Drosophila melanogaster: one gene and its partners. The protein of the gene in region 1 purifies or fractionates together with the protein of each later gene. This does not show direct contact. Each region holds a gene or a part of one and is shown in the gene's direction. Other genes may lie near its edges.

Region 1 (11,352 bases):
AGCACGATGTATCATGGTTTCAATTGCCTCTTTGGTGCTTAGACCAGTGGCATGTTCTAGAGGTATACCCTCATCGATATAGGAAGCTTCTAAAAGTTTTCTCAGGCTATCAACTTCAGCGGTAAATTGCGTTGCAGTTTTACCTCTCTGCTGAACTGTTGCTAGCTTTGCTTTGACATTACTGGATGTCTCACCGACAACTACTTTCTGCAATTTGTTTATAATTGCTGGAATTGTCGTTTCATTGTCAACTGAGTTCAAAATTGTGCCAACTATTTTTGACTTAATGACCTCAACTGCAATGTCTTCAAATGGTCCCTTAGCTAGGTCTACCAATTTGATTGCCTTAATGAATCTTTGTAAATGGATCTTTTGCCCATCAAATTCTGGCACTGTGCAGGCGACTTCCCTAATGTAAGACCTAATGGCAGCTGCTTCTTCTGCCATGGTTAAGTTATTTTCGGAGTCGGCTGCGTTATTTGTTTTATCGTCGTTCTTCAGCATTAATTTTGCTGGTATAGTTAGATCGTGAAGATCTTCCTCTTTAATGTCTTCCTTGACTATAGTCCTATCTTCCTCGTCAGAGTTAGTGCTGTCTTCATTCAAATTTATTCTTAGTGGGGTGTTTACTATGGTTGGAATTTCTATCTGGAGACTGAATTTATTTTTTATAAATATTAATTTTTCTCTTAATGTCACCAGTAGGTTCAAAGCCTTAGCACACTGTTTGCGTTCCAAATTCTTTCTATTTTGTTGGATCAACTCTCTGATTTCATTATAACTATTTACCAAGACTTGGGCATTCCTATTGATTGTTACAGCTTGTGTTGATCTGTTTTGCGTTAAGCACTTATAGGATTTTCTGAAATTTTCATTTTGATCTTTTATCTGATCAACAAGCTTTTCCCAGTCCATGCTGTGGTATACTCATAACTTCAAATTTATTCATTTGTATATATTTTTTTTTTAATGTAGATAAATTCAATATTACGTTTTATATTTTTTTTTATTTATTATTTTTTTTTTTTTCATATAATTTTTCTCATATTTTCATTCATAATTGACTTTATTAAAGATCTTCCTTAAATATTATCTATACCGTTAGCAGTGCTACGGTATCGTTTCTTAAGACACTTGTTATGCAGTTTGTATATTTTTATTAATGCATTGGATACCATAATTAATGCAATTACAATTAGTATTATGGTTATCCAGAACAAGTCTGCATTTTGGACTTCTACTTTATTTATTACATTGGCTGTAGAGTCCACAGTTTTAGTGTCTATTAGACCCATTTTGGGTATACTAATTTTATATTTTGGAGAATAGAATAGAAAATTTCCTTTGTATATACTTTTATTTTCAGTTTTACTTATTTCATTTGTCTCTATAGACATTTATGTTTGGAATTATCTATTTATAAAATCTTTCAATGTTCGCAAGAGTAAAAAAAAATTGTATTTTACATTGTTGCCTGCCTGATTCTAGCTATGGCTTCACGGGCCATATTGGGTTAACAGGGCATAATAGTATATGCTCCGTTTTACAATATTTCTTACAATTTTTCTTATCTATATATATTTTATATTTACTTTATATTTATATATATTTATTATTATATTCTGCTGTTGATGATGCTCATCAGGTGTCAGCTGGGCGTCGCCGGGGGTGGCACGCTGACACTCCCTCGCTGCTGTCTATTTGTTGGGTGTCAGCTGGGCGTCGCCGGGGGTGGCACGCTGACACTCCCTCGCTGCTGTCTATTTCTTCGCCGCTGAAGACGTCGATGGTCGCTCACAAGTCCCCAGGCAGTGGGGACTCCAGATTCCTTCGCAGCCAGGGGGGGCAGGACTTCTTTGGTTTTGTTAATGCTGGTGCTGGTGCTGGACATGCCTGGTATTTTGGAACTTCATTAATTGTGGGTATATTTTTAATATTATCTGAGTGAGTTTTCTCGAGCTTATGGGTCTTTAATTCTTGCTGATATTGCAACAAGTGGTCTAGCTCTGCATGTAGCTTTAGAGCTTTCGACCAAACCGGTGGCGTTTGCTGACCGTATATTAGCCACCTTACGTGGGCTATACGTTTATTCAGCTTAGTTTTCAAACCGCCACGGTGTTTGCCCATACTCAATAGAACTCTACTCACTCAGATTTTTCCTTGGTTTTTGCAGTTCCATTTAATTAGTCCAGTCTTCTTCCAGTCCAGTGTTCCTTTGTTCCTTTGTTTTCACCAGCTTTGGTCAATTCGTCCAGCGTTGGACGACTGTCACGGTCGCCATGTAATGATGAACTCCAATTAAGAACACAAGTCCGTTTTAAGTTGAAGGCAGCCGTCGGGCTGACATATATTTATTCAATTTCTTCTTTTGATTTTAGAGTAGGCAGAAATGGTTCTGTCAGCTCAACGTCTACCGAGTCTCTCCCTGATTTTACAGTTTTTTAATATATTTGGACTTAGGCTAATCCGCGTAGCTGCGCTGCCGGGTACGCCAGCAGCGGAGCGGCGTTCTTATGTATATCTTATATATCTAGGCTTATCGGGAGAGCGAGATATGTATGTACGTATGTAATATGTATTTGGTCGGCGTGTGAATGCTGACCATGCACTTATACTTTTTGCCTTCGAGTGGGCAATGCACTTATACTTTGTGGCCTTCGAGTGGGTGATCATGTTACATCCGCCCTGGCCTAACTGCGTGCATAAACATAAACATAAACATAGCAACAAAGTGCTGCCATAAGTTAATATGCTATTTTATTTAATTGTTCTTAATATTGCATAGGCACATACTACACTCATATTTCGGGCGGTGTTTGGTTAAATTCTCATATTTCCATTATATTTATATTTGTATAAATGTAGTACATATATTATGCTAGAGGTGGCAGTTATATCGATGTTATCGCGATGCCAGAGCGGAGTTACTCAACCACGGCAGTATCGAGAAGTGCTCGACCACTGGGCTTGTATCGATAGTATCGGCGCCGTTCATCGTAGGATTCAAACACGTTTCAAGTGAAATTCATTTGCAAGTTGAGACACAATATTTATACACCTCCCAAAATTTATTCGCTGTGCCATGTGTAAAAAAAAACCATTTAATTCACAGTTACATTTCAACTAAATCTCACAACATTCCCTCAGTCAATCCTTGGCATTTGGGAACTTCAGGGTTCGCAGCTTGGAGTAAATAATGTCCCAGTCGACGTAGGCGCCCACCAAATGACGCTTGTTGCCCGGCGCATCCTCGTAAGCCGTTCTTCCGTGCAACATTCGCAGGTTGTTGAAGACGAACACATCGCCGGCTTGGGTCTTGAACTCCACCGCCTCGGACTGGGCGATCTCAAGGAACTTATCGTAGGCTTTGTACCAGGACACGGCCTGCGCCAGGGAAACGGAGAACCGGCTGTCCCGCTTAGTGGTGTTCTGGTTGATCCTCGCGAACCGGCCATCCACATCCAAACAAATTACTGGCGCTCTCCAGAGACTGTGGAAGGGCTTGGAGTCATCGCCGTCGTGTCCGATGTCAAACCAGTTAACGGGCACCGACTTGAGCACCTCGAAGTCCTCCGGATGCAGTTTTTGCAACTGCGAGGCCACGTTGAAGCCATCTGTCAGCGTATTTGCTCCACCCTTTGACTCCGACTGGACGAGGGTGTGCAGGATGTTGATGCCCGCCTTGTACTCGTAGTAGGGCATGTCGGTATGAAGCGGCAGGGGAGTCATTAGATAGGCGTAGTTGCGCGCATTTGGTTTGGATTTAACCTCGAAAACGTCGCTAGGGGAGGCGGGATAGTAGATAATTTATAGCTGAACTTGAGTAATGCAACTAAGGTGTTTTCCCTTTTAATTTATGAAATGTGGCTAGCATATTCTGTAGTAGTATCTAGCGTGAGTAAGTGGTAATCAAATCTTTATCATGAGTACAAATGGACACCTGGTTGAAAATATTTGCCTGATTCTGGCTGTAACAATCAACCGATAGTGATAATATTTAGTGGACTGATAGATAATACAGCTCTCGGCAAATGTGAGTTTTATGACCCTGGTACTGTACGATGAAGTATGTCATCTATTGGTTAATATTTACCCGTAGGTGGTGCGTTTTATGTAGCCAATTCGTTCGGCCAATTTCTTAGCCACATTTATGTCGTTGGGTGCCCCTTTCAGAATGGCGAATCCTTGGACTGCCAGTGCCTCAAGCCAAACTCTCAGGGCTGCATCTTGCTCCAGCACATCCTCGTATTGGAATTCTCTTTTCACATCCTCGAACTCCGTTTTTCCCCAGAGTTGAGCGGGTGGCTTGTAGACCTCCTCCAAGTAATGCTTTCTGCCAGTCTCTCCAAAGTCCCTTTCCCTCAGCCAGCCTAGATCGAAGGTGCTCCTGTGCTTGTCCTGCCAGATGATCTCCAACTGTTTCCTCTCCTTGTTGTAGGCCACTTGGGACACTGGTATATTCAGCGGGCCACGATCCCAGTGACTTTTTCTTGCTCTTGTGGCGGCGTGGAAGCACTCGGCACACTGACAGTTGTCCCTAAGCCAAACTTGGGGGTACTTCAGGAGATTGCCCTGCTCCTCCTGGACTTCTACATAGTCGGGGCATAGTCGCACACAAGCAAATGTGCTCGCCTGCCGAAGAAGGCTCAGCCGAGAAATAAGTTGCCTACAGCTAAGCATTCCAGGCTCAACTGCCGAGCAATCAGGTGATGGCACAACAGGCAGGCTGGCTGATAAGCAAAGCTTCAGCTTATCGCTCGTCTTTCTCTTTGGGGAGCGAGACCACTTGCACTATGGATTGCGGCTGCTCCAACCAGCAGTCTCTTTGACTGTTCGCCGCAAAGCTTCGCCGGCCGCAGCAGAGTGAGCACTCTAAGAAAAAAGAGACCTGTTCAGTACTTTCTTGGATTTGCTCCTCGGATTCCTCCTGGTTGGTGTTCCCTGTTTTCCGGCTTCTGGGCTTCTTGCGCTGCCTGCGATGGCGCTTTTTCTTCGTTTTGACTGCTCCGTTCGATTGAGCTTGTGCATCAGTCTTGGCCTCCTGTGCTCCTTCCTCCACATGCAGCTCCGTATTCACTCCGGGAATCAGGGGAAGGAAACAGCGCCTGCACAGGGAACGCTTCACGGCCGGGGCCCTTGAAACCAGTTGACGCCATGAATTATTTGCCCATACTCCACTGGAGAAGCCACTTACATGTGCATGATAGCCTTGGTGCCCACATTGCGGCAGAGTTTGCCATAATAGGCGGCCAATTTTGGTTGATTGCCTACTGCCATTAAATTCGAGGCCTGGAACAGGTAGTTCATGCGTGAGGAGATGGCCCGCTGGGTCAGGTGCTTCATCTTGTTGTCCCTGCTCATATTCTGAGGCTTTTGTCGCACAAAGCTGGTCGACTGGTAGACTTTCGTTTTTGTGGCAATTCAAAACACATGGGCGTCGCGGTGTGACCGTATCTGGAGCGCCAAGATATTGCTCCTACTGCAATAGCAGCAACTGCAAAGAGCTCTCAAAATTCAACATTATGTGATTATAATTTCGGTTTTTGGCAGCTCAAAATTTCTGGAAATTCGCAGAATATTCTTTTCCCAGCAACGATTGTATTTCCGCGCCATTCCATTATTTCACACTGGTCACACTGGCTAAGCCAGCTGTTTCCCGCGTTTTTGATTCGCCAATTGCGATTGCCAGAAAAGCAAAAGTGGAGCGGCAGTGGGAAGCTGGAAAATAGCGCAAGCCGCAGGGAAACCCTCAAAATGCAACGCACTGCACTCATGTAGAATTCTACTTTGCATCGTAAGCGATTGGAAAGAGACCGTTGTGTCTAGACGTAGACAGATTAGGCAGACGATTGGGATTCCCGCCAGAAGTGTTCACCATGTTTGTCCAGGATCTGCGCAACGACTTTTACCGCCAGCTGGTTGGCAAGCGCATCTTGATCGTGGTCAACTACGACATCGATGCCATCTGCGCCAGTCGCATCCTGCAGGCCTTGTTCAAGTACGATCACATGCTGTACACCGTGGTGCCCATAATGGGCGTTACGGGTCTGAAGCGGGCCTATGGAGAGCACCAGGGCGACGTTAAGTACGTGGTGTTGGTGAACTGCGGCGGCTGTGTAGATATTGTGGAGCTCCTGCAGCCGTCGGACGACGTGACCTTCTTCATATGCGATTCACATCGCCCGTTGGATGTGTGTAACATCTACAGCGATCGGCAGGTGTGCATCTTGGGGGATGCCTCCTTGGAGGAGAATATTCCAGCGTTCGAGACAATTTTCTATGACTCTGAAGGTGAAGACGAGGATGAGGACGAGTCCTCTGACACGGAACAGCAGCACGACGACAGTGGTGCCGGGGAATCGGACCAGGAGGATCAGGCGCCAAGGAGCCGTAAGCTCAGTCGCCTGGAGCGGCACGAGCAACGCATCCTGAAGCAGCGAGCCCGCCGACAGTGGGAGTCTGAGCGCGACAGGATTATGTTCGAGTACACGCAGTTCAGCTACTACGGCAGGTCCGCCGCTTTGATGGTTTTTGAGTTGGCCTGGAAGCTCTCAAAAGACAACATGGACCTGCTCTGGTGGGCCATTGTGGGCATCACGGAGCAGCTGCTGCTGGGCAAGATCGAGAGTGGAGCGTATACTTTGGAGCTGGAGCAAATCCAGTCGCATGTGTCCCGACTGACGAACAAAACGAATGATCAGAACACGATGAGTGCCTCCAAGATAACCTTCGAGAATGATTTGCATCTGGTCTTGTACCGCCACTGGCCCGTCACGGAATCCATGAGGTGAGCATTGACAGTGTATTCTATGCCATTTAATCATGTAGTATAATCGTAGGTATTCCCGCTACTCCTCATGCCAGCTGAAGCTGTGGACACTGCGCGGAGAGAAGAGATTACACGAGCTGCTGCTCGAGATGGGACTTCCCTTGGTGCACGCCCGCCAAACGTACGGAGCCATGGATTTGGTGTTGCGCAAGGAGTTCTTCTCGATGGTGGAGCGCCTGGCGGAGAAGTACGACATAGCGGACATAGTTTACGGCACCTTTACGCTGAGCTACGGCTACCGCAGCAGATATGCTGCGGCGGACTACGTTTATGCCCTGCTCGCCATCATGGAGTCCGTGAAGAAGCACAAGACTCCGGAGGATTGCTTTCTGGAGGCCTCGGATGCTTTGAGTCGTCAGCACAAGCAGCTGCTGTCTGCAGGCATCGACCAGGCGAAGCTTTTGCATGCTGCTGTCTTTCGGCAGGTGCAGAGCAGCTTGGAGGCACGCCAAGTTCATTCAGCGGGCTCCTTTTTCTACTACGTTCTGCAGGAGGAACACGCGTTCTTCTCATACCCCTATGCCCTTGGACTGTTGGCTCGCTTTCTTTTGCGCGGACATGTGGCCACGAGTAGAGCCAGGCAGGCTTCGGACTTGCCGTTGATCGCAAGTTGTCCCCTGAACGCTTCGGAGGGCATGTGCTTGCTGGTAGGCATTGTCCCGGTAAGGGAAGACTCTCCGCGAAACTTCTTTGGCAAGGCCTTCGAGCAGGCGGCGCAAAAGAGTGGAGTCGCTCTATTGCAGGACTTTTTCGAGCCAGCGGTGGTGCAGCTGCGGCAGAGCGACCTCACACGCTTTCTGGACTCCCTCACGGTGCTGTTAGCCTAATCCACGCCGCTTTCTATTCTACCTGCTACCGACACATCCCTGCTCAATCATATTATGTGCTAAGCTAGTTTTATATCGCGAGACCTCACGTGTACACTTAGTTTAAGATTTTACCAAACCCTATTTATGTACGATTGTGTGTTAATAACTTTATCATTGCTCCCAGGACCACAAAATGCAAAATGTCCTTTTTCAAAAACTAATTGTAAATTTGACCTAGAATAATAAATTTAAATTAAAGTGTTTACCATGGAATTAAAAGTGTCGATTCACGTCTAAAATTTACTCGGCGCTTAAATTTATGAAAACGTATTTACCATGCTATCTATACATGCCGTGTTGGCAGTTGGACTGCCTTCTTACATTTGGTTTATTTTCTGGCTCAGAGGAAACATCATTAGCTAACCAGATTTGCGGCTTGAGCTTGCTGCGTCTGTGCGTTTTTTTTCTTTAGGGGATTAGCGCTGAGGATGCGGGCCGAACCCAAACAAGCTGTGTCGTCATAGAATACGGCATATTGTCCTGGTGTAATAGCTCTTAAAGGAGCGTCCAACTCGACAAGAAAAGTGTTACTGGGAGAGATGCTCAGCTGACAGTCCACCAATGGTTTGGTGTGCTGGAATCGAAAGCGACACCTCAAGCTGCCAGTGTCCGAAAGAATCTGTTGGGACTTGGAACACAGCCAGTTGGGCGGATCGACGGCTATGTGGGTGCTGAGAAGGGCGGGATGGTTGTGGCCAGATGCCACATAGATGGTATTGCTTGCGGCCTCTTTCCTGGCCACAAAATAGGGCTGAAGGAATGAGCTCAGACGGCACCGCTGGCCCACAGTCCATTGATGGATGCCCTCGTGGTGGCCGACAACGGCTCCACTGTCGATGTCTAGGAAGGGACCACGTTTGGAAGTGATGTACTGAAAGTGGAGGGAAACCAGATTTGAGTCCGTGGTGAAATCAAGGAAATTGAGCCATGTGCTTTTTCAATCGCGGCAAGTGCTTTACCTCCTGTATGAAGTCCTTGAAGTTGCGTTTGCCAACGAAACAAATGCCAGTGCTTTCCTTCTTTTTGGCCAGTCGCTGGAAGCCAATCTTCTTGGCCAAGTCCTTGACCTGGCTCTTCTGGAAGTCTCCCAAAGGGAACATCGTGCGTTGCAGAGCCTTTCGGGAAATACCTGCCAAAAAGAATGTCTGGTCCTTGAACGTATCGGCGGGTATTAGCAAGCGGGCGTCGTTGTTGGAGGCAATCCCCTCCAGGTAGTTGCCCAGACTATTCCGGGCGTAGTGACCCGTGGCCACGGCATCGTAGCCGAGATTTTCCAAGGCGTGCTTGTGAAAGAGGTCAAACTTAATGTGGCGATTGCACAGGATGTCCGGATTTGGTGTCAAGCCCATTTGGTAATCGTCCAGAAACTGGCTGAACACCGCCGTCCAGTACTCGCGCACATAGTTCACCTGACGCAGCTCCACGCCGAGCTGCCGGCACGCCCACTCGGCGTCCTTCAGATCCGCCTCCCCACTGCAGCGACCCACTTCGTCCGCCTCATCCCAGTTGCGCATAAACACACCCAGCACCTTGAATCCTTGCTCCGCCAGCAGGTGGGCGGAAACGGCGCTGTCCACGCCGCCCGACACGCCCACCACTACGTTGCGAATCATTGGGCGGTGTTGGCAAAGCAATAATTTCAAAGTTATGTGTTTCACGTTAGACGAACAGCAGTTTTTGTTTATGCGGCAGAAACAGTTGATGTGCTTTCCGTTAGTTTTTGGTATTTATTTTGGGTATACCATGGTATTATAAACTATCGCATCGGTGGTCACACTAATAATACCGGCGTTTAATGCGCTGTCAGTTCAGTTCATTCAGTCGGGCCATGAAGCAAAGCTCCGCGCATTGTGGATTTGCGCGTGTCGAAAGGGGAAACAGCAAAAACGCCATTTTTTTCGAGTAACGGTGCGTGCGTAATTTTATCCGTTATCTTTCCTCGACAAACATTCGAACTGGGAAACAACAGGAATTCCATTTTTTCGAGTTAAGGTAGGTCAGTAATTTAACCGTAATATTTTCTCACCAAACTGTAGAAATGGGAAAGGAGCGAAACTCCATTTTTACGACCGAAACTCCATTTTTTCGAGTGAACACTGTGTGTGTTGTGTATGTGGGAGGAGTCACTTCTGAGTGCACGTTTTCCCCCTCATCCGTTATCTATCCGTCTCTTTTTTTCTGTTTTTTTCCGCAAATGGGCATGATGCAGTTTTTGAGAATTATGCTCGCATTCTAGTCGCACACGGGACTAGACACCGTGCGCATTTTGACTCGGCATTCTTACGGGGCATTGCCGGCTTCACAGCCATTTGTACAAATTGGCATTGCAGAAGTGAACTCTGTCGCTTCTGCTGCATGGATGGCGCTTGGCCATCAAGAGAAACAGAATCCCCTGAACCACAATAAAATTCTGGCATTTATACAGTGCATTGGACTTCAGGGGGATCGTTGAGTCATGAAGGGGTAGTAGTACAATAGAGCCGACTGGGTCGCAGTACACCTACAAACCCACTTAATAATAATAAGTCGCTAACAGTTGTGAAGTAAAGTGTATAAGTTGTGAAACAACAAGAACTCCATTTTTTTTTAAGGTGCGTGTGTGTGTCACGCTTTCTTTTCTCCCTCATCTGTTATTTATCCTTCCATAACAAACATTCGAAATAGGAAACAACAGCAACTCCATTTTTTTTCGAGTGAAGATGTGTGTGTGTGTGTGTGTGTTAGAGAAGAGCCACTTCTGATTGCACGTTTTCGCCCTCATCCGTTATTTATCCGTCTCTCCTTTCGTGGCAAATCGGCATACTGCAGAGTATTTCGACAAAAAGCATGAACTTTTATGCACCTGCGATGACGAATGCCCGTCGATGTTCTTTGCATGTTTTTTTGTATTTCATCATGGCTAGGGCTGCTGTCTGGGCTTGGGTCGAGGAAGGGCATCCTAGGTCGCAAATGATGGCCAAGTGGTCACTGGCAGTGTATTCCTCGCTGAGTCTCCACCACCTGAACCTGGGTCCGGCCTCTAGCATCCGCTGTCAGTGATCAGCGTGATCAGCGGTTCCGCCAGATTGGCTGGAACTGCTATTTCAGCAGTCTTCCCTCCATACTGCGTTTGTCAGAGGCTCTTGATTGCCAACACTGCTGCTGTGATCTCTGTCTGGGACTCCAGGCCCACCTCAGTTCGTCTTCAGTAGTAAGCTCGTCAAGGTCGCGAATCAAAAATACTTTTGATTGTGTTACCGCGCGAAGGCTGGCGCGGTCTCGAAGCACCGCTCCCATGTCCACTTGAGCTTCTGTGTCAAGTCTTGGGCAGAGGCACGTAGTTCGGGGAGCAGTTCACCTTTGGCCGTCCTCTTAACCCTTTTTACGTTTTCTCAGATGACCCTGAGCATGGCGTCTTGGCCTCTTGTGACCAGCGACAGCATTTCGCTGTACGGTAAGCCAGCTGATGGGATGATAACCAGTGCATCAGGCCTCTCCCTCGGCGGTCTGTTCCTGCGCGGTTTGGGCGGTCGGTGCTGCAGTCCGGTTTGTGGCTTACTTCCCGCTGCAGTGGAGAGGAGTGGAGCCCAAAGAAGGCGCTGGAGTCCCGCTGCCTTCTGGTGGTCGGATCGCTGGACTTTCTTCGCGGACTTCCTTTGATTTGGGACTATCCTT
Region 2 (11,979 bases), 5.6 Mb from region 1:
GAGACCTTACCGTCTGCTATCGTAGGAGTGGAAGCGCTGCACTCGACCCTCACGTCGACGTCGTTCCTCCTGCTCGCGCTCCTTCTGTCGCGCCTCGTTGATCTCGGCGACGGCGTTGCGCAGTTTGGAGTAGCCCAGATGCTGTTTACCCATCAAATGGTCCTCGATCCGCTGCTGTGCATCGCCGACTATCAGGAAAGCGCCACAGATTTCGCACACCTTCATTTGTTTCTCGGGCATGGCATCATGCGACCAGCCAGCCGCCTTGCTATCCGTCTTCTCTGACGTTTTGTCCTCGCTGGCTGCACCAGCTGCTTCACCGGCATCGTCAGTCGTTGTGACAGCTGCTTGTGCGGAACTTGGAGCTGCATCCGGCGCTTCATCTAGCGTGGTGGCGGCTGGAAGAGGAGTAGTTGGACTTTCTTCGCTGGGATTTGTGACCGGACTGCTGCGCGGGTGATGCTGCAGCTCGTCCTCCGCTGACTTGGTCAGGCTGATGCTGCTGATGGCCTTGTGATGGGCCTCGTATTGCTGTACCAACTGTTCCTTCTCCTCCTTGAGCTCCTCGCACACGGTCATTAGATCTTGGGCCTGGTCCACGTCACCCCGAATGCCGGCTTCCTCTGCCTCAGAGAGCAGCTTATTGATCCGGGCCGTCAGATTCGCAAGCTGCTCCTGGTGCCTGCTCAGTGGCGCCGGTACATTGGGCTGATCCCTTTGCATTAGCAGCAAACGCTGTTTTCCCTTCTGGATCTTTCGATCCACATCGTGCAGCATAACATTGCAAAAGCGCAGGAATTCATCCTCGTACTGACGCTTCCGCTGCGAGGGTCGAGCATCCTCGTAGAGATGTCGGGCTTCCTCGTCGTGGATGCGGGCACAGGGGCCCAGATCTGCGCGCGTATTTATGAATAGATCGTGCGGACAGAACTTAACGTTGTAGAACTGACAGAACTGCGGACAAAAAAAAAAACCCCCATTATTTTGGAGGTGGCTCTTTGGCGCGCCACATCCTGAGCGTACTCACCTCCGGATCCTCCCAATTGACCTTGGCGCCCGCCTCCGAGGGATGCAGGTTGCGATTCCTGCCCATCAGCTCGTCGAGCATCTGCCTGGCGGCGTCCACCATTTTCCGGGGCTCCTTCGCAATTTGTGGGGACAAAACTCCGAAGGGGGCGGTGGTCCCAGTGAATCAAATGAATCCAATGGTACCACACCGACTTCTATGGCCACAACGGTGCCGGCGAACAGGTGAACACACGTGCAACGCTGTGCTCCTGCTGTTTAGCCAAAAAATTAGCCAAAATAGAATCAATAAAATTATTTCACGAAATTCGCGTGGTATCGATTATTTCGGAATAAGCCTATCGGTGCACAGCGTTCCGCGACATGAGTGGGCGAACTATCGGTCTTAAAAACGTACTAAATTCTATAAGTTCATAAAATAAACAACTTAAGTTGAATGTTTTAATACTTTACTCGTATAAAATTATTCTTATAATTCATGTCATTCATCTCTTGGATTATTAAGTTATCCGATTAAGTTATTAAAACAACGTATCTCAATCAACTTTTGGACTATTTGATCTATTCAAAAAATTCGAAAACTACTTGTTGATTAGCAAGGGCAAGAAATTTAAGTAAGCTTTCAGCAATTAAAAAAATATATATTTTTATATATATTTGAACTAATAAATTAATGTGACCGTAAGACATGTTTACCTTTGCTCTTGAATAGCTGGCATCCCTGCGCACGAGCGTTGCCACCCCCAAGCAACTGTCAGAAAAAGGCGCCAAAACCGAGCAAAGCACGCAGCTGTAAACATTCGCAAGAAACGAAAGCAATCTCGGAATTTAGCGCGCAATTCACCAGTTTGAAGCAAGAAGTGACCCAAAATGGATGTGGCAGATGCTCAGGTTGGCCAGCTGCGCGTAAAAGACGAGGTGGGCATTCGGGCCCAGAAGTTGTTTCAGGATTTCCTCGAGGAATTCAAGGAGGATGGCGAGATCAAGTACACGCGCCCAGCCGCCAGCTTGGAATCCCCGGATCGCTGCACCCTGGAGGTCAGCTTCGAGGATGTGGAGAAATACGATCAGAATCTGGCCACCGCCATTATCGAGGAGTACTACCACATCTATCCGTTCCTTTGCCAATCCGTTTCGAACTACGTTAAGGACCGGATTGGACTGAAGACCCAGAAGGATTGCTATGTGGCCTTCACGGAGGTGCCGACGCGTCACAAGGTTCGCGATCTGACCACCTCCAAAATCGGCACCCTCATCCGCATCTCCGGCCAGGTGGTGCGCACCCATCCCGTACATCCGGAGCTTGTTTCCGGCGTCTTCATGTGCCTCGATTGCCAGACGGAAATTCGGAACGTAGAGCAGCAGTTCAAGTTCACCAATCCCACCATTTGCCGCAATCCCGTGTGCTCCAATCGCAAGCGTTTCATGCTGGATGTGGAGAAGAGTCTGTTCTTGGACTTTCAAAAGATTCGCATCCAGGAGACGCAAGCCGAGCTGCCGCGTGGCTGTATTCCCCGCGCGGTGGAGATTATCCTGCGCTCGGAGCTGGTGGAGACCGTTCAGGCTGGCGATCGCTATGATTTCACGGGCACTCTGATTGTGGTGCCCGATGTGAGTGTCCTGGCCGGAGTGGGCACACGGGCGGAGAACAGTTCACGCCACAAGCCCGGCGAGGGCATGGATGGCGTCACTGGCCTAAAGGCACTGGGCATGCGAGAGCTCAACTATCGGATGGCCTTCCTTGCCTGCAGTGTTCAGGCAACGACAGCACGTTTTGGCGGCACCGATCTGCCCATGTCGGAGGTGACAGCCGAGGATATGAAGAAGCAGATGACAGATGCCGAGTGGCACAAGATCTATGAGATGTCCAAGGATCGCAATCTCTACCAGAATCTAATTAGCAGCCTCTTTCCCTCGATCTACGGCAACGATGAGGTCAAGCGGGGCATTCTTCTGCAGCAATTCGGTGGCGTTGCGAAGACCACCACCGAAAAGACATCGCTTCGTGGCGACATCAATGTGTGCATCGTTGGCGATCCCAGCACGGCCAAGTCACAGTTCCTCAAGCAGGTATCCGACTTCTCGCCGCGTGCGATCTACACCTCGGGCAAGGCATCCTCGGCAGCGGGCTTAACCGCTGCGGTTGTGCGCGACGAGGAGTCCTTTGACTTTGTCATCGAGGCGGGCGCCCTCATGTTGGCCGACAATGGCATTTGCTGCATTGACGAGTTCGATAAGATGGATCAGCGCGATCAGGTGGCCATTCACGAGGCCATGGAACAGCAGACCATATCGATTGCACGCGCCGGCGTACGAGCCACACTCAATGCGCGCACTTCGATTCTGGCCGCCGCCAATCCCATTAATGGTCGCTACGATCGCTCCAAGAGTTTGCAACAAAATATTCAGCTATCGGCACCGATTATGTCGCGATTCGATCTGTTCTTCATTCTCGTGGACGAATGCAATGAGGTGGTGGACTATGCCATTGCTCGCAAGATCGTTGATCTGCACTCGAACATCGAGGAGTCCGTGGAGCGGGCATATACGCGCGAAGAGGTCCTTCGCTATGTGACATTTGCGCGGCAATTTAAGCCGGTTATTAGCCAGGAGGCCGGACACATGCTGGTCGAGAACTATGGCCATTTGAGGCAGCGCGATACGGGCACGTCGGGCAGGAGCACCTGGAGGATAACGGTGCGTCAGCTGGAGTCCATGATTCGACTGAGCGAGGCCATGGCCAAGCTGGAGTGCTCGAATCGCGTGCTGGAGCGACACGTCAAGGAGGCCTTCCGTTTGCTCAACAAGTCCATCATTCGCGTGGAGCAACCGGATATTCATTTAGATGACGACGAGGGTCTGGACATGGACGATGGCATTCAGCACGACATCGACATGGAGAACAATGGAGCAGCGGCCAATGTGGATGAGAACAATGGTATGGACACATCCGCCAGCGGCGCCGTGCAGAAGAAGAAGTTCACGCTTTCGTTCGAGGATTACAAGAATCTGTCCACCATGCTGGTGTTGCATATGCGCGCCGAGGAGGCGCGCTGCGAGGTGGAGGGCAACGATACGGGCATCAAGCGCAGCAATGTGGTCACCTGGTATCTGGAGCAGGTGGCGGACCAAATCGAATCCGAGGATGAGTTAATTTCTCGCAAAAATCTCATCGAGAAGCTTATCGATCGCCTCATCTATCACGATCAGGTCATTATTCCGCTCAAGACATCCACGCTGAAGCCGAGAATTCAGGTACAAAAGGATTTCGTGGAGGAGGACGATCCCCTGCTGGTGGTGCATCCCAACTACGTTGTGGAGTGATCCCAGCCGATCAACAGTTTATTACTATGCCCTAAATCTAGCTGGTTAAGTTTCTGTTTCCGCGTCTTGCTTTTTTTTGCTCACCCAAACAAACAATGTATTTAGGCAGTAAGTTTATAGTTTAGAGACATTATTGAAATCCATTAAGGATTTCTTGGTTCAGTTACGTTCCAAATCATTCATGTTTTCGCCGAAATAAACGTTCATCTCAAGATTCATTTCGTTTTTTGCTGCTCATTAAGAACGGAATGAAAAATGCAACCCAACATGCGCAGTCAAAATGATAGCAAATCCATGTTTTAGCTTGGTTTCCATTCATTTTAATTGTATAGATGCGTTGATTAATTGCCTATGAAATAAAAACGAGGCGCGCAGTGCGATCGAGAGCGTGATAGATACAATCCTACTTCTCGAAGGTGTAGTGCTTGACGCCAGGGCTGGGATATTGCTTGGCGGCCACGGGGCGGTACATCTTCTTGTCATCCAGCCAGTAGTAGAGTGCCAGGCAGCCGGACATCACGCCCAGGAAGCAGGCAAAGTAGTACGCATTGCTGTAGCGTGGCGGTTCGGCCTGCGACCAGCGATCCTCGCTGTACAGATCATGATCCGCCGAGATCTGCAATGGAAATGGATCAGGGTTTGACTCTTTTTTTATGCAGCAGCTGCTGCTAGCCGTTGATGTTGGCGCTTACGGGCTCGTGTTGGTTGCGCTTGTGCTCCGGATAGTCCCAGGGATAGTACGAGTCCTTGGCCTCCACACCCAGACCGTAGCCCAATTTGGGATAATCTCCGTAGCCCAGACCATCGTCCGCATACGGTTTGTACTCCTCCGGCAACAGATAGTACTTCTTGGCCGCCGCCAGGCGCTCCTTCTCCGTCTGTGGATACGGACCCGGCTTGTAGTCCTTATTCCAGCCAGCCACTAAAACGTAAATGGCGAGAAATTCGAATTTGTAGCCATTCGGTGCATGCAAAAGTTACGTAAACAAAACAGTGGGGCAGGTTGCACTGTTGCCAGCGCAGCCCCGATTCACACTTACTGCTGCGGATCGCCTGGCGAGCCACGACGGGATTGGCGGCGCACAGCTTTTGGGCCAAGCACACGGTTTTCACAAACGCCGACATTGCAGGCTTGTTTCCACTAAAAAAAAGTTCCTCTGAAGTTACGATTCCCGAAAAAACAGCTGTTCGCCTGCGGATGGCACACAAACGATAGGATACAGTGCCGCAACGGTCTGCTATCGATAGTTGTAGTTTCAAAAAAAACAAATAGAACTATCAACAGATTTTAAATTTGTTAGCTATGGAATAGGAATTTACAGTTAGTACTAAGGTAACTAGGTGTTTCTTAAAAATGTTTAGGATTTTTGTTTCTCAATTTTTATGAACTTAGGCAGCAATCGTTACAAAGTCGATAAGAACAATCGATGGTCCGATAGCTCTCACCCGCGCATCGAGGTGCTGTTGTTGTTTTTTGTTGTTGTTGGTGTTGTTGTGGTGGGCTCGTCCGTGAAAGATCACTTGCTTGCAAACTTATTTATTAATTACCGACTAAGGAATAAGCATAGAGATGGTGCTACCATTATTGCAACGCTCCACGCTTCGCGGCGTTCAACAAATGACGAAACCCTGGGCCGCCATTGGAAGTTTGCGTCTGGTAAGGATTCCAAGTGCTGTGCAAATTGGATATATATTTTGTAGCGAGATGGCAAAAATATTTTGCCTTATGTAATGCTAGATTCGCCCATGCAGCGGCTAATAACTCCAAAATATGTTATTTTTTTGATTGTAAACAAGGCGCGGCGAGCAGAAATGCCAATGAAAAGTGCACAAATGCCGGCGTTTCGTAATCATTACACAATGGAAAGCGGAGGCGAGCGACTTCCAGGCGCTGGAACGGACGTTCCAATTGGCACACCACTGCGACCACTTGTGGACGAAACTCCAATTGGCGCGCGACTCCAATTGGAAGCCGTCGCATTGATTTTTTCACTCAATTTTCGCAAACGTTTTTTATTTTCATTTCGCACTCAAAACTCAAATCACATGATTGAAAACAAAACAAACTCACGGCGTTGAAAAAAAAAGGGAAAAGAGAGAACCATAAACTCGCGAAACGAGTTGTAATTCAAGAAATTGTGCTAGTCAGCGAATTCTTGTTTTTTTTTTTCGGCAATTGAATTAAAACCGGTTAATTATATATGGTACTAGATGAATGAACGACCACTGTAATACACTACCGATTATTCAGATAATGCTGCATATAAAACATATGTATATAAGACACTAGATAGTAGAGCTACAGTCCGGCGTAAATTCCACCCATAAATCCCGAGGAACAGCGCTGGTCACATGAATAGCACTGGAAATGCAAAAGTTCGAATCAGTCTGTTTTTATAGAATTGCTATTGCAATTATTATGCATACAATATACATATATACACAAATATAGTTCGAGATCCTCGCACTACTTTCGTGCCCCCTGCTGTGTGCACCCCATGCCCAAGTTGGGTCTTTCATATTCAGCGCCCAGTGCTCGGGCATTCAACACCTCCCACCAATTCTGCGGGAAGTTCGCTCGTTGAGAGCGCTCTTTCAAGAATCTGTTCGTTGTACACTCGGCTTTTTGGTTTTGAATCCCCCTAGCTTATCGCCTCTGCCTTTCAATGCCCGAGCACGCCTCAGTTAACATCGAGCAGCAGCCGTCGTCGAGTGGTCGTCCTCTGATTTGTTCACTCTGATTGCCATAGTCTCAATTTGGCTTCACTTACTTACTATCTGTCATATCTGCATCTGAAATGGTCTGCCCCTGTGTTTACTTACTGATAATTATAGCCATTCTTATCGGATTCATTCGCATCGACAGGCCTCCCAGGAGTTTCGCGTGGAGAGCGACACCTTTGGCGAACTGAAGGTGCCCGCGGATAAGTACTATGGCGCCCAAACGATGCGATCCCAGATCAATTTCCCCATCGGCGGAGCCACCGAACGGATGCCCGTAAGTAGTGCCCCCCACTGCCTCCATCTACGTATACATATAATTCTCACGTAAATCTTTCGAAAGTATTTAAAAGTCAGCATTGAAGGTTCAAAAAGCAGCAAGGTCTAGCTAATTACTAAGTAAAATATGGCTTAAATTAAGCTTCTATTACAGAAAGCAGAACAAATGGTGAATGCTAGTTCAATGAGTTTGTTCATTGTAATTCAGAGTCTATAGAAAGTTAAAGTCTAAAAAATGTATTAACTACATTAACATAACACACAAGTATGTTGCGTAAAGTAAAAAATAAGAAGAAAACACATTGAAAGCAACTAAAACTCTCGTTAATCCCCGCCAGAAACCCGTGGTCCAGGCCATGGGCATCCTGAAGAAGGCCGCCGCCGAGGTGAACAAGGAGTTCGGACTGGACAGCAAGGTTAGCGAGGCGATCTCGAAGGCGGCCGACGATGTGATCTCTGGCAAGCTATACGACGACCACTTCCCGCTGGTCATCTGGCAGACGGGCTCGGGCACGCAGAGCAACATGAATGTGAATGAGGTGGGCATGAGCGGTCATTTGTTTCATTTGCACTATTCTCAAATCTCCTCTAACTCTCTAACTCTCAAGGTGATCAGCAATCGTGCCATTGAGCTGCTGGGCGGCAAACTGGGCTCCAAGACGCCCGTGCATCCCAACGATCATGTGAACAAATCGCAGAGCTCCAACGATACCTTCCCCACCGCCATTCACATCTCGGTGGCGCTGGAGCTGAACAACAACCTTAAGCCGGCGATTAAGACGCTGCACGATGCGCTGCGTGCCAAGTCGGAGGAGTTCAAGGACATTATCAAGATCGGACGCACGCATACGATGGATGCGGTGCCATTGACGCTGGGCCAAGAGTTCAGCGGCTATGCCCAGCAATTGGCCTACGCCCAGGAGCGCATCGATGCCTGTCTGCCGCGCGTCTATGAGCTGGCTCTGGGCGGCACTGCTGTGGGTACGGGTCTGAACACACGCAAGGGATTCGCCGAGAAGTGCGCTGCAAAGATCGCCGAGCTGACCAGCCTGCCCTTCGTTACCGCGCCCAACAAGTTCGAGGCACTGGCTGCCCGCGATGCCATGGTGGAGGTGCATGGTGTGCTCAACACGATCGCCGTTAGCCTGATGAAGATTGCCAACGATATTCGTTTCCTTGGCTCCGGACCGCGTTGCGGTTTGGGTGAGCTCTCGCTACCGGAGAACGAGCCAGGTAGCTCCATCATGCCCGGCAAGGTGAATCCCACGCAATGCGAGTCGCTGACAATGCTCTCCGCCCAGGTGATGGGCAATCAGGTGGCGGTGACCATCGGTGGATCCAATGGGCACTTCGAGCTGAATGTATTCAAGCCCCTGATCGTGTCCAATGTGCTGCGCTCCATTCGGCTATTGTGTAAGCTACCTATTACCCACCCTTGGTGGAACGCCAAATCAATCGAATCTATTCCTTTTTGTAGCTGATGGCAGCAGGACCTTCACTGCCAACTGTGTGAATGGCATCCAGGCGAACCGCGAGAATATTGCCAAGATCATGAACGAGTCGCTCATGCTGGTGACCGCTCTGAATCCGCACATTGGTTACGACAAGGCTGCGAAAATTGCAAAGACGGCGCACAAGAATGGCACCACACTCAAGGAGGAGGCCATCAATTTGGGTTACCTGACGGAGCAGCAGTTCAACGACTGGGTGCGACCCGAACAGATGCTGGGACCCAAGTGAAGTGGAGCCAAGTAGGCCGACGACGAAATCCATCATTCAATCATCGCTGTCATCGGAATCGCAGTGTGATTTTCTAGATCAGATCGTTTTGTTGTATATGAATCGCTCGGAAACACAGAACCAATAATAATTGAAAATGCTGAAGCAAAACAATGGTCTGCATCTGGCTAGGCGCAATCTCTGGGTGGTTTGCAGTGGCCTCCGTGCCAAGGATGTAAGTACGCGACAATGGTCGCTGGCAACTCATGGCTACATGGGGCATCTTTGCAGTGCGACAGTGGCGGTAAGGGCGGCAAGGGCAAGGAGAATGGCAAGTTTCGTACGGAGAAGGACACCTTCGGGGAGCTAAAGGTGCCGGCGGACAAGCTGTACGGCGCACAGACGATGCGCTCCAAATTGAATTTTCCCATTGGCGACATAGGCGAACGTATGCCGGTAGGCAACCAACCAACCAACCAACATATTCTGGCATCTACCAAGTGCTTTGCCATAGCCAATTAATCCCCAAACTGCCCGCAGATGCCGGTGATCCAGGCCATGGGCATACTGAAGAAGGCATGTGCCGAGGTCAACAAGGATTACGGACTAGATGGCAAGGTGTCGGATGCCGTATCCTGCGCCTGCGACGATGTCATTTCCGGCAAGCTATACAAACAGGGTCACTTCCCATTGGTCATCTGGCAAACCGGTTCGGGCACCCAGACCAATATGAACACCAACGAGGTAAGATTGTTAGATAGGGCTAACGAGAGAAATGTGTATAGCTGGATGCTTCTCCTGCCCCATGCCATTGGCAAACCTACTAGGTGATCAGCAATGCGGCCATTAAGATGATGGGCGGCGAACTGGGCAGCAAGAAGCCGGTGCATCCCAACGATCATGTGAACAAGTCGCAGAGCTCCAACGACACCTTCCCCACGGCCATTCACATTTCGGTGGGCATGGAGCTGAACGAGCGGCTTGTTCCGGCGGTTACACACTTGAGGGATGCCCTCAAGTCCAAGTCGGATGAGTTCAAGGACATCATCAAGATCGGACGCACCCACTTGATGGACGCAGTTCCGCTGACTTTGGGCCAGGAATTCAGCGGTTATACACAGCAGTTGACCAACGGTCTGGAAAGGATCAAGGGCTGTCTGCCGCGCGTCTATGAGCTGGCTCTGGGCGGCACTGCTGTGGGTACGGGTCTGAACACACGCAAGGGATTCGCCGAGAAGGTGGCCAAGCGCATTTCGGAGCTAACCTGCTTGCCCTTCGTGTCGGCGCCCAACAAGTTCGAGGCACTGGCTGCCCGCGATGCCATGGTGGAGGTGCATGGTGTGCTCAACACGATCGCCGTCAGCCTGATGAAGATCGCCAACGATATCCGATTGCTGGGATCGGGTCCGCGTTGCGGTCTGGGCGAACTAATGCTGCCGGAGAACGAGCCCGGTAGCTCCATCATGCCCGGCAAGGTGAATCCCACGCAATGCGAATCAATGACCATGCTGTGTGCCCAGGTGATGGGCAATCAGGTGGCGGTGACCATCGGCGGCTCCAACGGGCACTTCGAGCTAAATGTATTCAAACCCCTGGTCGTGTCCAATGTGCTGCGCTCCATTCGCTTGTTGGGTGAGTCGGAAATGTGTTTTCCAAGTGGAAAAACATGCATACATAACCTTCTCCTCCCAGCTGATGGCAGCATGACCTTCAGCAAGAACTGCGTGGAGGGACTGCAGGCCAACAAGGAGAGGATCGACAAGATCATGAACGAGTCCTTGATGCTGGTGACCGCGCTGAATCCGCACATTGGCTATGACAAGGCCGCCCTGATCGCCAAGACGGCGCACAAGAATAAGACGACCTTGAAGGAGGAGGCACTGAAGACCGGAATTACCGAAGAGCAGTTCAAGGAGTGGGTCAATCCCAAGGAGATGCTGGGACCGAAGTGATTCGCTGTGCGGCTATTGACGATTTTGTTTTAGTTTCGTGTAATAAATTTTTGTGTGTAGCAGGATATTTCAATAGATTGTATTAATTTGTTGATTTTACGGCAGGTGAATAACGGTTTTTAGTTTTTGAATTCTCCAAATGATTCGAGTCCACACTACGCGATAGTCATTATCGATTCTAAAGATATACCGTAAGTGTGGTCACACTAACGCCTTGCTGTTTCTAAATTATTCCGTTGTTTTTATCGTAAATTCTTGCACACTTAGCTATTATTTTATAGCGAAATATAAGCAAAGCAAGCTTTTAAACAAGTGTTTATTGCGGCGCACATTTTCCGTGACAAATGAAAAGATCCAGCTGACCAGCGATTATCTAACGACCAAATCGAATCGAAACGAAACGTTGAAGTAGGCGCATTACATTAAAAATTGGCTGCCAGGCAAGTTGGAGGTCGTAAATTAATCGTTTTGTTCAGTTGAAAATAGCCCAAAATCAGTCTAGCCCACACAGATATCGAAAAAGGCGATATATCTTTGGATAATCATTGCAAAAATAAACCCTTTCGATTCGACGATTTCGCCTTGTAGTTCTGCCACCACCGCCCCCACACTTCGCCCCGCAGCTGCACCACAACCACCACCACCCACAAACAGAAAATTTATTTGCGACGCAAAAACAAAACAATCGAATCGAAACGAACCGAACCGAAACGAAACGACAGCAGCTGTTTGGTTATAAATCGGCGCTATCGATCGCACACATGAGCAAAATTGGCGGAGAAGAAGAGGAAGCAGCAGCAAGAGTTAAGCACCACAAATCTTAAAGAATAGGTAAAAATTAAAAATTAAATTAATAGATGACAGACCGTTTAAGGTGCTTCATTCAGTTGCAGGCACTAGGAGCCGAGGTCTTTGCGGGCCGAAAGATGTCTGTGAGACTGCTGACCGTGCGACTGAT
Region 3 (3,304 bases), on another chromosome or scaffold:
ACATCGATTTTGTTTTCTTTTCACTTGTTTTTAATTTCCTTTAAAACGTTGTCGTTTGAAAAGTTTAATTTAGAACACGTATTTGTTAAACTGGATTATATAAGTCTTTTTTTTTTAATGTACCCACCTGGCCCTGCGTTCCAACTCATCGGTCTTCGGATCTCGGATAAGCACAAACGGCAACCGATTGGATACCACGATGAGACTCGCCTTGGTGGAGGGCTCCCCGGCATTGGTAACGATGATTTCCGTGTCGGGCATCGTGATCCTTGGTAAGCTAGCTGTAGAAGAGTTAAACGAATCTTCTCCTGCGGTCAAGTCTAGCACATAATTTTTGACAACAGCGTATGGGAAAATTCGCGGATGTGGAGGTTAGACAACCGTCTAGTTCAAATCCAGGCTTATCAATGAACGAGTCCGTTCTTCCGAAGCGAGAGCGACCGTTGCCGAATTTGGTTCGAGATGCGCTGATCGATGACTGAAGACTGCTCGAAGCCAAGTCAATCACTGCCTTCTTATCAAAGCTACTCTCAGATGCAATTCTACGTGGAAATGGCAGGCAATTTTCCTGGCTGATTGGCGGTGAGTCGATTACGTTAGTTTCGATGGTCGCGAGAGCCAGCAGCTCCGTACCCTGCCGAAAATAGACAAGCACTAAGCCAACTAGGCGATCAAGTCGCACTTTTCTGCTAAAAATTAATGCCAGCCAGCCAACCCCCTCCACCCATTCCATCATGGGTTCCACAGTCCACTCTCCGGCTTATCAGAAAATCGTCCGGCATCTGCTCCTCTCGCGCTGATTACATTTTTCCCAGCGGATGTGAGAGAATCGAAACCTGCGCAGGAGAATACCTACCGCTTCTGTCCTGGCCTAGTGGCCAAGTGTTCACCCAATTGATCCTTGAAGGGGTTAGATGTCATGGGGATGTGATCTGAACTATCGGTGCCGCAGTTTACACACCGCAGATAGTTTTCTAGAATTAACTGGCCGTGCCTGGTATTATCAGCTCGGGAACATTTCACGGCAACGACGGCCACAACCTCATCATCCTCCGCCTCCTCCCCCTAACCACCACCCATCCCATTCCATCTCATCGATGTTGTCTCTCGATGCGATAAGTCAACAAATCGATGCTGTTGTTTACGCTTCGGGCTCAGCCTTATAAAGAACATCCGAATTGTACACAGAAGATTTGTATTTCTATTTTCGTTTCTCTATCGAAGTTGTCTGCAGATTGCAGTTGAAATCTGTTCAGTTTGGGATTCCAGCTAGTGCAGATCTAACCTTGTAATGACCGCCATTTCTGGAGTTCATTACCGGGCGTATAGTTTTATTTGCCCGGAAAGATACAAGACCGATAAGGCTATCTAGTGCATTTTAGTCTCGGATTTTACGGCGAAGTGGTGCAAGGGATTACGCCCGGGCAGCTTATATATTATAGAACGGAAAACTTGGCTGAACTTGAACGCTTGATCATGTTTGGCATTCATGCGCTTATCACGATGCCCGGCTGGCGTTTTACGTGATTCTTGATAGTTGTCGTCGCCTTAGCCGGAATCTGCAATAACACATTCGCACCGGGAGAACAAATTAGTCAGCTCCATCGGTTGTAGCGGTGCAGCAATGCGATGCGATCCGATCCGGCCGGCGATAGTGGTAATGATGGTGAGATAACCCGGCCGAAGGTCGCCGAATTACGGTTGGCATATTTATAGTGGCGAACTGTGGCTATTATGTCGCAGAAGTCTATAGTTTGACGTGATTAAATTGACGCAGAGCCCGCAGGCGAAAGATTCGTGATGCAAGCAGATTGTTGGGAAAACAACACCGTTATTAACGGTCAATAGCAGAGCTGGGCTGCCAGACTGCAGAGATCACTGGGTCGATAGCATTGAGATCGATAGCGGACAGGTGTCATCACTGGCCGCTCGAGTGACCGTATGTTCCCGCATTTGTTTTGTTTGTTTATAGCAATTATGGATCCTTCAATTATTGAATTTATTGGCGAAAAATGCATGATCAGCATAATACCGAACTTCAGCAACGAGCCTCTGCACCTGATATACGGACCTGTGGGCCCTTTCCGAGCCGGTTTTCCCGTCTTCGTGCCCCTGTGGATGGCCACGCATCTGCGCAAGCAACAAAAGTGCCGAATTGTACCTCCAGAATGGATGGACATGGATATATTGGAGGAAATCAAGGAGGAGGAAAAGCGCTCAAAGTATGTATGATGTGGGTATGCCCGTGGAAAGCAAATCTTATTCTCCGCCTGCCCATAGGTTCTTTACCAAAATGCCCTGTGAGCATTACATGGTAGTGGCCCAGTTGGTCATGAGCACGGCTCCGGATGACGTTCCGCGTTGCGAGGAGCTGCGCACTGTGATCAAGGACATCTTCGACATACGCGAGTCCAAGCTGCGCACTTCGATCGACGCCTTTATCAAGGGAGAGGGCACATATGCAAAGCTAGACAACCTCACGCTTCTGGAGATCCACAGCGTGAGACCCATTCTGCCCTATTCCCTGGACCACATAGCACGGTACCAGCGCACGGCCACTGCGTCTCAAAGGGACACCTCCATGCTAAGTGCATCCATGGCAGGCTCCAGTTCGGGTCCGAACAGTAACTCTCTGTTTTCTCAGTGATTATTCCAGTCAAACAACATTGTTGGGAACATTTAAGATAATAGATTTAGTTATTAGCAGGAGCTTATGTAGCCTGTAGTCATTAAACCTCTCAAAAGTTCAAAAATATTTGTATGCTTAAAATTAAATATAAATGCTTTCAGAAAATTAAAAAAAGTAATTAGAATTAGAAGTTTTTGATAAGGCATTTCAAATTCCGATAAATTTCTTTATCGATATGCGCTTATCTAACAGGACTGCGCCTTACAGCACGACAGCAATTTAACAGCAGCTGCTATCATATAATTGCACTGTATCCCTGGTTTTCCACGAAGAGAATAACAATAACTTTTTTATACAAATAAATAAGGATAAAGCGAGATGAGCGAGTCTGCGGTAGCGGTGGAGCCGGAAGAAAGGATGGTTGCTAACAACAAAATCCATTTCTCCAAGGAGGTGAAGCAGGTCATCGACAAGGTGAGTCAGTGGAACATATGTTGGTAGCAATTACCAACCCAATTCGAATGTCCATAAAAGGTTCTCAAAACGGACGATCCGATGGATGCGCCGGACTTCAACACTGTGGACTACATCAACCAGCTCTTCCCCAACGAGCAATCGCTGGCCGGTATTGATGAGACCATCCAAAAGATGCAGTGCGAGGTGTCCCTGATTGAT

What was found.
Region 2: the proteins of Cdc45 (region 1) and Mcm6 purify together in Drosophila melanogaster (affinity purification with western blotting; 3 studies listed by BioGRID, with this or other methods). This does not show direct contact.
Region 3: the proteins of Cdc45 (region 1) and Psf2 purify together in Drosophila melanogaster (affinity purification with western blotting; 2 studies listed by BioGRID, with this or other methods). This does not show direct contact.

Annotation. Positions count from the first base shown.
Region 1 is NC_004354.4:1,024,852-1,036,203, reverse strand, and holds Cdc45 (cell division cycle 45), read left to right. Parts: upstream 1-5,647; 5' UTR 5,648-5,876; coding exon 5,877-6,787; intron 6,788-6,839; coding exon 6,840-7,656; 3' UTR 7,657-7,913; downstream 7,914-11,352. Other genes in the region: CG14630 (uncharacterized protein), read right to left, coding at 3,148-3,781, 4,094-4,680; Rpp21 (ribonuclease P/MRP subunit p21), read right to left, coding at 4,751-5,135, 5,195-5,361; CG3021 (uncharacterized protein), read right to left, coding at 8,054-8,569, 8,658-9,311.
Region 2 is NC_004354.4:6,672,610-6,684,588, forward strand, and holds Mcm6 (minichromosome maintenance 6), read left to right. Parts: upstream 1-1,777; 5' UTR 1,778-1,896; coding exon 1,897-4,350; 3' UTR 4,351-4,567; downstream 4,568-11,979. Other genes in the region: CG3198 (uncharacterized protein), read right to left, coding at 11-954, 1,028-1,129; ND-ASHI (NADH dehydrogenase (ubiquinone) ASHI subunit), read right to left, coding at 4,754-4,966, 5,043-5,272, 5,391-5,475; Fum1 (fumarase 1), read left to right, coding at 5,921-6,007, 7,217-7,348, 7,689-7,889, 7,959-8,763, 8,828-9,090; Fum2 (fumarase 2), read left to right, coding at 9,227-9,304, 9,361-9,525, 9,610-9,813, 9,897-10,701, 10,762-11,021; Pink1 (PTEN-induced putative kinase 1), read left to right, coding at 11,948-11,979. UniProt on the Drosophila melanogaster protein: Acts as a component of the Mcm2-7 complex (Mcm complex) which is the putative replicative helicase essential for 'once per cell cycle' DNA replication initiation and elongation in eukaryotic cells.
Region 3 is NT_033779.5:4,385,682-4,388,985, reverse strand, and holds Psf2 (partner of Sld five 2), read left to right. Parts: upstream 1-1,629; 5' UTR 1,630-1,666; intron 1,667-1,915; exon of another isoform or gene 1,916-1,972; 5' UTR 1,973-1,977; coding exon 1,978-2,222; intron 2,223-2,280; coding exon 2,281-2,647; 3' UTR 2,648-2,804; downstream 2,805-3,304. Other genes in the region: Tps1 (Trehalose-6-phosphate synthase 1), read right to left, coding at 128-261; Vps53 (vacuolar protein sorting 53), read left to right, coding at 3,008-3,103, 3,164-3,304. UniProt on the Drosophila melanogaster protein: The GINS complex plays an essential role in the initiation of DNA replication.